Linked DNA regions of Sus scrofa. The protein of the gene in region 2 purifies or fractionates together with the protein of the main gene of each other region. This does not show direct contact. Links are inferred from orthologs where the notes say so. Each region holds a gene or a part of one and is shown on either strand. Other genes may lie near its edges.

Region 1 (4,997 bases), on a different chromosome or scaffold from region 2:
GTTACATTACATATTTAAGCTTCTACACAATGATGGACACTTTGAGAAGCTAATCCTTATCCAGAAACATTTTAATCTCGTAAAAAACAAAGCAAAAGAAACAAACAACAGAAAAAACCCAAACCTACTTTGCTCCTTTTCACAATAGTGCACATTTTAACCATAATTTAGTTATGGCTACAAAACATCAGAAGATTTTTTTTTTTTATGCATCTTCTCTATGGTATTAAAAAAATTGTGCCCTTCTAGTCTTTAATTGGCAGAAATATGTCCCAAAAAAGAAACTATTGCATTTAAGCCACATCACCAAAACAAAACAGAAACAAACAACAAAAAAACCCAACCCCCCTAAAAAAAAAACAACAAAAAGCAACAGAAAACCCCCCAGAACAAAAAACAAAGCAAAAACAAAAACAAAAGCACAAAAAACAGCGCATAATACCCTTTTACTGATGTGTCTAACAGATTGACATGACCAAAGTCATATAGTTCTTTCAACTTCCAATTCCCCCTCCTACAACATGCACCAATTGAATATATGCTCTGGGAGCCATAAATGTACCAAACATCTATCTCTTCAAAACAATGCATTAAAATATTTTTAAGAATTTTTTGTTTAAAAGGTGAAAAAAATATAAACAAGAAACTGATTCACTCCCTTACTTCATGCATCCATAAACTAAACCAAAAACAAAGTTTAAAAGCAAGAACAAACTACTGCTGCAAGTTTTTGTAAGTCCGTATTCTCTGTACATACAAACTGCTAAACTACTGAAGGGAAAAAAAGAATATAATCCATGGTGTCTGCTGATTCAAAGGGGAAAAACAAGGCTGTCATTAGTATCCAAAAACTGGTACATGTATGGGCTGCTTTTATAACGCATACTTTTTCTCTCTTCTGTTTTTCATATCCAAAACTTCTAAATGCTATTTTAGGGGCACAGCAGATTAGATTCCAGCACTTGGTGAACAGAATTCACAAGCTGTGACAAAATTCTGTCATCTTCAGGGTGCAATTTTGTTTATATACACTGTATGTATATATTTCTCTTAGATTTGGCTGTAGTGGACTGGCCATGGTTCAAGTGGGACTATAGCAGTACTTGGGTCGGGGACAGTCATTTTGGCTATGTACACATTCATAGTCGGTCCATGGCTTCCAACTAGTAGCGCTATTTCCGAAGGTCTAATACACAAACCTGTAAGAAATTAAAATAATCAACCAGTGTGTAAAGAATTAATTCCATCGTACATTTTCAGTTTAATTTTTCTATAGTACAGTTTGGAACCTACTTCTTAGTTCCAAGTTCACCAACTGGTAAAACAAAAGTAATCATAGCAATGGGCATCAAGAGAAATCAGATAAATTGTTTGAAAGTAGATGGAGGAAATAACCATGGGCTAACACTAGAGAGGGAAAAACCAAGTCTAAAATTTTGAAGACTTAGTGTCTGTTAATGAAAAAGTAGAAAAAATATGTTCAAAATAGACCAATTTCTATCTCTTGGACCTTAATGAAAGATACTACAGATTATATTAAGCTACTGCCTCAGTAAACAACGAATGGTTACACTCTTTGTTTTCCCTTTACTTTCAGAATGTTGGAAGCCATTAACTAGTTTTCTGTAATGAATTGGCCAACCTCATCCTGACAGTCTCTCAGTATCACTCACTCCTCAATGCAGACTCTACTGCCTCTATTCCCCCTTTTCTGGGCAACCAACACTCTTCTGCAAGGAAGACACAATAGAAACAGTCACTAAAAATTCAAATCTCGGAGTTCCCACTGTGGCGCAAAGCAATCGGTAGCATCTCTGGAGCACCAGGACTCAGCCTGGCATAGTGTGTTAAAGTTACAACTGCGGCCTGGATCTGAGCCCTGGCCCAGAAACTCCATATGCCTCGGGGTGGCCCAAACAAAGAAACAAACCAATCTAGTATTAAAAAATACTTCAAATCTCTCTCAGAGTGGTATTCTGCTATATGTAATTACATTGATGAAAGTCTACACTAAAAATAAATGTCCATTTATTGATTATGAAGGCACTTTTTTGGCAAAGAGCTTAAATTCTGTTTATGTTATCTGAATTAAATGAACATGAGAAGTACAGAGCCTTCAGTAAAAAAGATCAATACCATATCATAAAATGCATCTTAAAAAGAACACTTTCGTAGTCACTACCACAATAAGCCACATTTATTCACTATGCTTCTCTCTCACACACACACACACACACACCCCTTTGGAAACACTTCATTGTACTTACTGAACCATCTGATGCACTGGCTCCAACCTTGTCTCCTGCTGCATTCCAACAAACTTCAAAAATTCCACCTGTTCCCCTATAGCTGTGAACAAGAGCACCTGTCTAAAATAATGAAAAGCAGAATCTTAAAAATGATAAAATACATTATTACATATGTTTAAATACTAAGATAGGAATATTACATGTCTTTATTTCCAACAATCCAAGATAGGATTTAGCTTCAATTGTGAAATAAGCACAAGTTTTGAAATACTAGAAACATAATATGATGATGCTTTTACAGAAAAATAACACTAGCCTGCTCTCAACAGATCATTCTATCTATACCCAGCCCTGCCCCCATACATCCAGTTTCTCCAGTATTAATAACCATTCTTAGCTAAGATGTCTTTGGCCTCTTTGACATCGTTAACAATGGCTAGAAGTAAACATTCTATGCAGGACATGAAATAAATTTTTGTTATTGCTGTTTAAATATGCATGAATATAGCAAACACAGAGAAATAAAATTGTCAGAATTTCTTTGACAAAACATCCTAAAGAGGAAGAAGTATAATGAACTAGTAAAGGCAATTCCAGTTTAAAAATGTTAGCTATTGCACATTTACTGAGTAGCCAGTCTCTAGGCTAGGAGAATTATTAAAGAAGCTAAAAGAACATATGTACACTGTTACACAAAGATGTTATAAATTAAAAAAAAAAGTACACCCAGAAACACTACCAATTTCATCAACTTAGCTGAATCATAACTCAATTATTTTATTTCTTCAGCAACAGAAACCAAAACCAATACACAAATGCATTCTCCTAGGAATCTAGTCATCACATAGGGCAAAAGTGAGAGGTTCTGATGTGAGAAACTGAAAAAGAATGAAAAATATGCTTTCGGTGTTCTGTCCTGACAAACCAGAAATATATCCCCCAGCTTCATGGTGACTGAAAAAATTCAAACTAAAAGTAGCAGAACTACCTAAAAACAAGGCAGCAAAACATGTATCTTGTAAATAACTTCTGTGACAGCCAGCCCTAAGTTAATCAGTAAACTGGAAAACCATTTCCCCCTGCTTTCTTCTTCAGAGTCAGTCTGGTAATACTGCAGAAATCACAAATGCACTGCTATAGCTGACCACAGCCAGGAAGGCTCAACTGCTTTACTTCCCCCCTACCTAGAATTTCTCACATTCTAAGAGATGAATGAAAAAGTATGAGTAAAGTATGTCTTAAGTACATAGAGTTAGGAGAGAAAGGAGTGGTTGCCAACAAAATCTAATAGAAAGTAAAATCTAAAGAACAGTTAACATACTAATACTTTCTTTTTACCAATTTCTAAGCTTGAATTAGGCTGTAATTGAACCAAAACAGCATGGTCAACAAGCCAGAGCTGTCACATTAACAAATACTAAAGGATCCTCAGCATCTACTCAAATCTGTGATCTATCAAATGCTTAGGTAACATATCATCCAAGTAATGAAAGAAAAAAACTAGATGTATATATGATAAAAACATGATGACTTTTTCTGCACTAAACATTCACAAGATGCATGTTACCATTTTCAAACTTAAAAGTAAAACGACACTGATTTACAATAGGGATACAACCAAACAGTATAGATAGTTGCTCAAATGCCCTTAAAAGTCTAGCAGTATCTTCTCTCAGAACTCTGTAGTTCAACACCCAGATTTACTTTTAACTTAATTTACTCAATGGAGTAAATGAGTGATGGAAAATGTATACAACAGACAGATTATCTGTAGATCATATCTAAGAAGCTTCTGCTATTCAGTCACAACAGGAAGATTACCTTGAAAGGAAAGCTAAGGAAATATAAACTATTAGAAGTAATTAGAGAGCTCAGCAGGGTTGATGAAGTCAACATTAACATGTCAAAATTCATGATGTTCCAAATGAGTAAACACCACTAAGTAACCACCAGCAAGTAAAGGAATATATTTTTTAAAAGATGCTATATTCGTGGTAACAATAAAGTCCATACGGCAACTCAGAATAAATTAAGAAAAAAGATATTTATGAAGAAATTATAAAACTTTACTAAAGGGGGAAAAAAAAGACTTCATGAGGGGGGCTTACAGACTTACAAAGTTACAGCTGTTAAAACTAAGCTAATAATGCAGGTACATACAAATGTATCAATCAATGGAATACAAGAGAATTTATGAACAAACCACCTAAGACTTAATGTGTGAAAGAAGTGACATTATGAAATAGAACTAAACTTCACACCATATACAAAAGCCAATTCTAAGGGAGTTAAAAACATAAAAGAAAAAAATTAAACCATGGGAGTATAAAATGAACGAATCATAATGCTTTTATTTACCAAAAAAACTCACCAAGAACGAAAGCAAAACTAGTAAAAGTTACCTGTAGAGGACCAAGAAAAAAACAGGAGCAAAACTTCTCAGTGTGTCTTGGCGCATGTGGGGCTCGGGGGTGGGGGGAGAGACACGGAGCAGTTGAAGACCATCTGAATGTATAACTTAATCAAAAATAGTTTTTAAAATGATGATTTACACAAAATAGGCTGATGAGTTATGATGGTCAACTGCACAAAGAGAAATAGCCCACAATAAATTATTATGTGTACACTTCAACCAGTAAAGATCTGATCTTCGTGGGGTGGGGGAGTGAACAGTGGCGCCAGGGAGAGTCACATGACTGCTATTAAAGAAACAGTACGTGGCACATAAAAACTGAAACACTGAGAAGA
Region 2 (5,564 bases):
AAGGCAGCCCACGCTGCTGAGGGTCACCTGTACCCCGATCCGCTCACCAGGCAGCCTCAGAAGATCCAAGCATCCCATGTGACCACCAGGGACGGTCAGGATCCTTTCCAGGCTACAGCACCACACCCGAGAAGACAGCCCAGGAAGGCCAGAACGATTCCCCTGGCCCTACCGAAGCGGTGTCATCTACAGCAGCTCTGACAGCCCCCGACAGGACGCTAAACCCAAAGCGGTTCCTCCCCCGAGAGGCCCTGCTCTCCCCACACCCCGACCGAGCTGGGCTCCCAGATCAGAAGCAGAGGCGCGGACGCGCAGGATCAGCATCCGGGGCTTGACACAGCCAGGGGTACCGGCTGCTGCATCTTCCCGGCTCCTCGGGCGCCTCTTCTGCAAAGCGGGTGTAGGAAGAGCCACCCCCAAGGCGGTGGGGAGAGGAACGGGACCTCCGTGGCAAGTATGGACCACGGCACGGGGCCCCAAGGAGGTGCGCCTCACGGGGTAGCTGCTGGTCTGTGGTACGACCACAGCTGACCCTTGGACGTGTGGGGGTTGGGGTGCCGACCCCGGACACAGGTGAAAATCGGGGTCAGCCCTCCGTGTCCATGGTTCCACGTGCCGGATTCAATCAACCGCAGATCAGGTGGCACTGGAGGACTCACTGAAAAGAATCCGCGTGAAAGGGGACCCGTGCGGTCGAAGCCCCTGCTGTTGGAGCGTCACCTGCACATGATCTGCTCCGTGGGAAAGGGGAGAACCACGCTGATCCCCACATCTGCTGACCAGATGCCCACCGGTCCCCAGTGACACCGAGGGTCACTGCGGAGGCAGCACCTGTGGGGCCCTGGCCCTTCCTCCCGGGGAGTGAGCAGAAGGCTAGGAGGCGGGCCGGAAAAGGCATCAGGGACCACCCCGCTCCCCAAGCAGGCCCACCCGCCCCATCTCCCCACTCACACCAGCCAGGAGATGAAAAGGGCCGCGGGACCGGAGCTCCCGATCCTCGCTCGGTGACACCTCTCCCGAAGAAACGCCCGCGAACACACGCCCTGAGGTCTGTGAGCTGCAGCATCAACTTGACACAGGGCCCCTCTCTAACTTCAACCAGAAGATCCTCCACCTTCCTCTAGGTCAAGGCCAAAGCCCTGAGCCCCCTGCACGCCCCGGCACATCCTGACCGCCCATCGGGGACGGAAACCAAACCCCCTCCAGGCCAGACCAGCAGGGGCTGCGACCTGGTCCAGGGACCCGAGGCGCAGCCACAGCCCGAGGCCCCGCAGCCTCCCGGCGGCAGCAGTGGTCTTGCGCTCTCGGCATCTCCCTCGCTCCCTCCATCAGGCACTAATCTATTACTCATGGCAGTTTCTGAGTGATGAAAGCCCAGCCGTTTTCAATAGAGCACGGTATGGACGAATTCTGCAGGAGTGATGAAATGTTTCTTCTGCTCTGGCAATTAGGACGGCACAAAGTCGCCTGTCCCCGGTGCCACCCCAACATCAAAGGATGAGAATTCAAAGCCACTCATGCTGCATTGAAACCTCACAATGAAGCTGGAAAATGGAAGTCGATTACTGGACATAAATATGCAGTAGTTAAAAGGAAAGAGTTATAATGAAATTAAACTGCAGCAACCCCACGATGTGTGGAAACTTCCAGAACTCAAGGCCTCCTGGTAAACATGGAGAAGGGCACCCTCAGACAGCAGGTCTCCGACCACTGAGTCTGGACCTGCTCCCCAGCTGCACGTGGCCGGGGTGCCAGGCTGGTCTGTCCATCTTGCTACAGCAAGGGCCCCCACAGCCTCTGCGAACTGGGCATTTAGAGATTTTTTTTTATTTTGCATGGCTGTGAAGCTGCTGACCACAGAACATTCTCTCCTGGCTCACGGCTGCTCAGGCCACATCTGTCCTTGGTCCCCAGGCCTTCCAGGCCTACGTGCAGACCACAGTCACCCACCCCCCCACCCCCGCCTCCAACCTCCCCCATCCCAGGGCTCTCCCAGGGGCACTCGAGCTGCCAGGTCCCCTTGCAGGAGGAAGAACCAACCCTAAAGAGGGCAGTGTTACAACTGCCTGCGCAGAAATCCTGCTTCTTTTCTGATTGATTACTGCTCTCTTTAGGAAGGTTTCTGATCTTGAAAATAAAAGCCCAGAACACAGAAAGCTATAGAAGTCTAACAATGTGTCAGAGTGTGTGTTTTTAAGGCAGGAAAATACTTCCCTCCCACACAAATGTGAGTTCTGGGGAAAGATGCCACAGATCCCAGGGAGCAGAGTATCTGGGAAAGCTTGATCAGTCTTAAAAATAGACAATTGAACACAGATTTTAGAATTCTCAGGAGCTACCTGAAAAAAATTTAAACCCCACATATTTTTGATATCCAGAGCTCCATTCTGATGAAACTTCTAACAGGGTGGCATTTTGCATTTCCAATTATAATAGAGTAATTGTGTTGCCATAGTGACTGCAAAATTCTGCAATAACTTTTGTTGCTTTGTAATTGCTGTAGTGTATATTTGTGTACAAGCAGCTGAGTTTTCTTAATTCAATCTCTCGCCCTCCCCCCCCACCTTTCCTGGCCCGATCCTGAAACCACCACACCTGTGCTCACAGCTTTCATTCGCTTCACCGTCTCCGAAATAACGTACAGAATTATCAGAAGCAACGAAAACTCAAGGCAATCACGATCATGTTACAAAAGAAAAAGTGAAACCAGGCCAAGGTGCAAACCCACCAGAATTCCCATCCCGCTGGGCTGGCGCTGGGCGAGGGCTGTTTACATGTTTGCTCCCAGGCCTCTCATGCTTAGGTGGTTTGTGGGAATAAACAGAAAAGCCTGAGTAGAGAAAAGAGGGGGAAGCAAAGTAACTACCCAGGCCCTTTCCTCCCTCACCGAGGGCAGGCGGAGCTGCTGCGAGCAATTAGGTAGGTCTCTACAGTAATGCAATTAGGATTTAGTTAAGAAAGTCATTAGTTTTAAAATAACTTGAGTTTAATTTCTGCAACACTTTATTTGAAAATTGTGTCACAGCAGGTCAATTTACAACATGCAATAAAGCAAACACTCATATCAGCTGCTGCAAGTTATTACAAATTTTTGATGTGCATTAAATGAGTACACTGGGTCCCACCCCCGGCCTTTCCGACTGATACGCACGATCTCCTGCTAGAACAGTGTCAAATAATTCCACGCTAAATGTAAATACGAGATAATTTGCTTATAATTCCATGGTGTGTGCTTGCAACGCCCGGAAACGCGGCTCACATCCTCGGGGCAGGACGGGGCCACAGCTCGGCCTGTGGGAAGCCTGCGGGCACCCACTCGGGTCGTGAGCACCCCCACCCCTGCCGTTCCGGGCCGGGGCACACACCAGGCGACGGCGCACCCCGCCCGCGAGCCCCGCGGAGGGACGTTTTTCTGCAAACTCACAGCCTCGACAAAGTTACATAAACGGCGCCCGCCCGGGCTCGGGAGCCCCCGGCCCACCTGCCGAGGGCTCGGCCTGGACGGGCGCGGGCGCCCGGGGCCAGCCGGCCATCCTGCCCCGGCCGCGCGTCGGCCCTCGCCGGCTGGGGCAGCAGGGGAAGGTCCAGGACGGGTCCTCCCGCTCCGGACGCCCGCGGGCTGGCGCCACGCGCGGCCTGGGCGCACGGGCCGGGCCGGGCCGGCCGGCCGGGCGGACCCCGGCGTCCACCTGCCGGGGCCGGGCGGCGGGGGGCGTGGAGGCCGGCGGGCGGCCTGCGGGCGGGCGGGGGGTGGACAATGGCCCGCGGGCCGGGCCGGGGCAGCGCTTACCGCGGCGGCGGCGGCGGCGGCGGGCGCTCTAGCCCCGCGCGGGCGCTCCGAGCCGCATCTCCTCAGCCTGCGCCGCCACCACCACCGCGGGCGGCAGGCGGGCGGGCGCTCGGGCGGCGGCGACAGCGGGGACGCGGCCGCGGCGCGCCGGGCCCAGGCGGCTGAGGCGGCGGCGCGGGCGGGCGGGCGGCGGGCGGGCGCGCGGGCTCGGGCGCGGCGGCGGCGGCGGCGGCGGCGGCGGGGACGGTGCTCCGCGGCGGCGGCCCCACAACCTCCCCTCCTCATTCACAAAAAATTGACCCACGTTGAACCATGATGCTGCTCCCCCCTCCAGCACCGAGCGGGGCACTGATAGGCCACCGCCGACGCCCGTCAGCCGCCCCGGCCCCGCCCCCCGGCGGGCGGCTCTGCAGCCGTTGGCTGCGGCGGCTTTGCATCACCTCCCCTCGCGGGCCCCTCCCTCCTGCCGGGTTTCTAATGAAGAGCTCGTCAATTACGGCTCGGCCCCGCCCTCCCCGGGAGCCCGGCCGTCCTTCCATTGGTCCGCGGGAGCCCCGGGTACCGCCCCGTTTGCTCCCGCCCCTCGGCCAGCGGCCGCCAACCGCCAGGCCCGACGCCCTACGAACGGCAGGGATGCTCCACCCCTACCCGCCTTCTCCGGTACGTCCTGGTTCCTATTGGCTGCCGGAGCTGCCAATCCCAGGGGCGGGGCTATCAGAGGACGCTCCAGGCGCCAGCCGCTGGGCGCTTGGCGGTTGGGAAAGTGGAGAGAGCCCGGGCTTGTGGTGACTGTGAGCAGGGCAGGGGCTCTGGCGAGCTTCACTCTCCGGCCCCCCCGAGAGCTGCCCACGGTGGCTTAACAATCATGACCGCGGGCCTGCCCGCCTAGTGGGCGCAGACCGGGGCGGAGGCTGAGGCGGGGAGCGGGTTAGGCCCGGCCACAGCCTCCATCTTGGGTACTGGCAGTGGTCACGTGGTGGTGCCGCCTCCCGGAGGCGCAGGGGCGGCGCGAGAGGCGAGTGCGCAGGCGCAGCGGGCCCCGCCCTGCCCCGCGGCGGGAACGCGGCCTTTGGGGCTGGGGCTGGGCTGGCCGGCCTTCCCGCGGGCGTGGGGCGGGCGCAGCGCGCCTGCGCGGCTGGGAGGGACGGGGCGGCTGGCTCGCCGGGTGGTCCCAGCCGTGTCCGCCTCGCTCGACTCCGTCGACCAGCCCGTCTGCCTTGGGTGCTCAGTGTTTGAGGGATGCCGTGCTGGGGTGGTTTGTGCTGTCAAGCGGCCGCATGGGGCTTCGCGGAGGCCCTCGGAGACCCCTTGGGCCGCCCACCCGAAGGGCGTGGCGGGGTCTCCGGCGACCACCCCCTGGTCGTTTCATTTCCCAGCCTCGGTGCGCCTAACGTTTTTCAGAATCCCTGCTCTCCACCTAGTGAGGGAAGCACTGAGGGTGCGCGGATGCACGAGCTGAGAGCCAAGATGAGTGTTGAGACCTGGAGTTCCTGGAGGATGGCATCGTGAGAGAATGAAAGACTCAACAGTGGGTTCCAACTGCAGCACTTGGAGGTCCTATTTATGAAACACTTCCTTTAATAAGAGTGCTGTATGCAGTCCAAAGGGTTCTAGAATTAATTTGCTTCCATGAAACTTTATACCTCGCTGGACATTTGCAAACCTCTCAGGATGGTTCACAACCAAACACGTGACCACTGCTCAAAAAAACGTGAGCTCTAATAGCCAAATTTTGTTAAATAAGTTGTCTCTTAACCAAAGCAGCTTTTTTTCC

What was found. The genes of interacting proteins can lie anywhere in the genome.
Region 1: the proteins of HDAC4 (region 2) and TBL1XR1 purify together in Homo sapiens (affinity purification with mass spectrometry; 3 studies listed by BioGRID and IntAct, with this or other methods). This does not show direct contact. The link is inferred for Sus scrofa from reciprocal best matches to the Homo sapiens genes HDAC4 and TBL1XR1.

The regions. Positions count from the first base shown.
Region 1 is NC_010455.5:115,316,139-115,321,135, forward strand, and holds part of TBL1XR1 (F-box-like/WD repeat-containing protein TBL1XR1), read right to left. Parts: intron 2,370-4,997; coding exon 2,268-2,369; intron 1,200-2,267; coding exon 1,173-1,199; 3' UTR 1-1,172. UniProt on the Homo sapiens protein: F-box-like protein involved in the recruitment of the ubiquitin/19S proteasome complex to nuclear receptor-regulated transcription units. Plays an essential role in transcription activation mediated by nuclear receptors.
Region 2 is NC_010457.5:138,653,391-138,658,954, forward strand, and holds the start of HDAC4 (histone deacetylase 4), read right to left. Parts: upstream 3,877-5,564; 5' UTR 3,791-3,876; intron 1-3,790. UniProt on the Homo sapiens protein: Responsible for the deacetylation of lysine residues on the N-terminal part of the core histones (H2A, H2B, H3 and H4).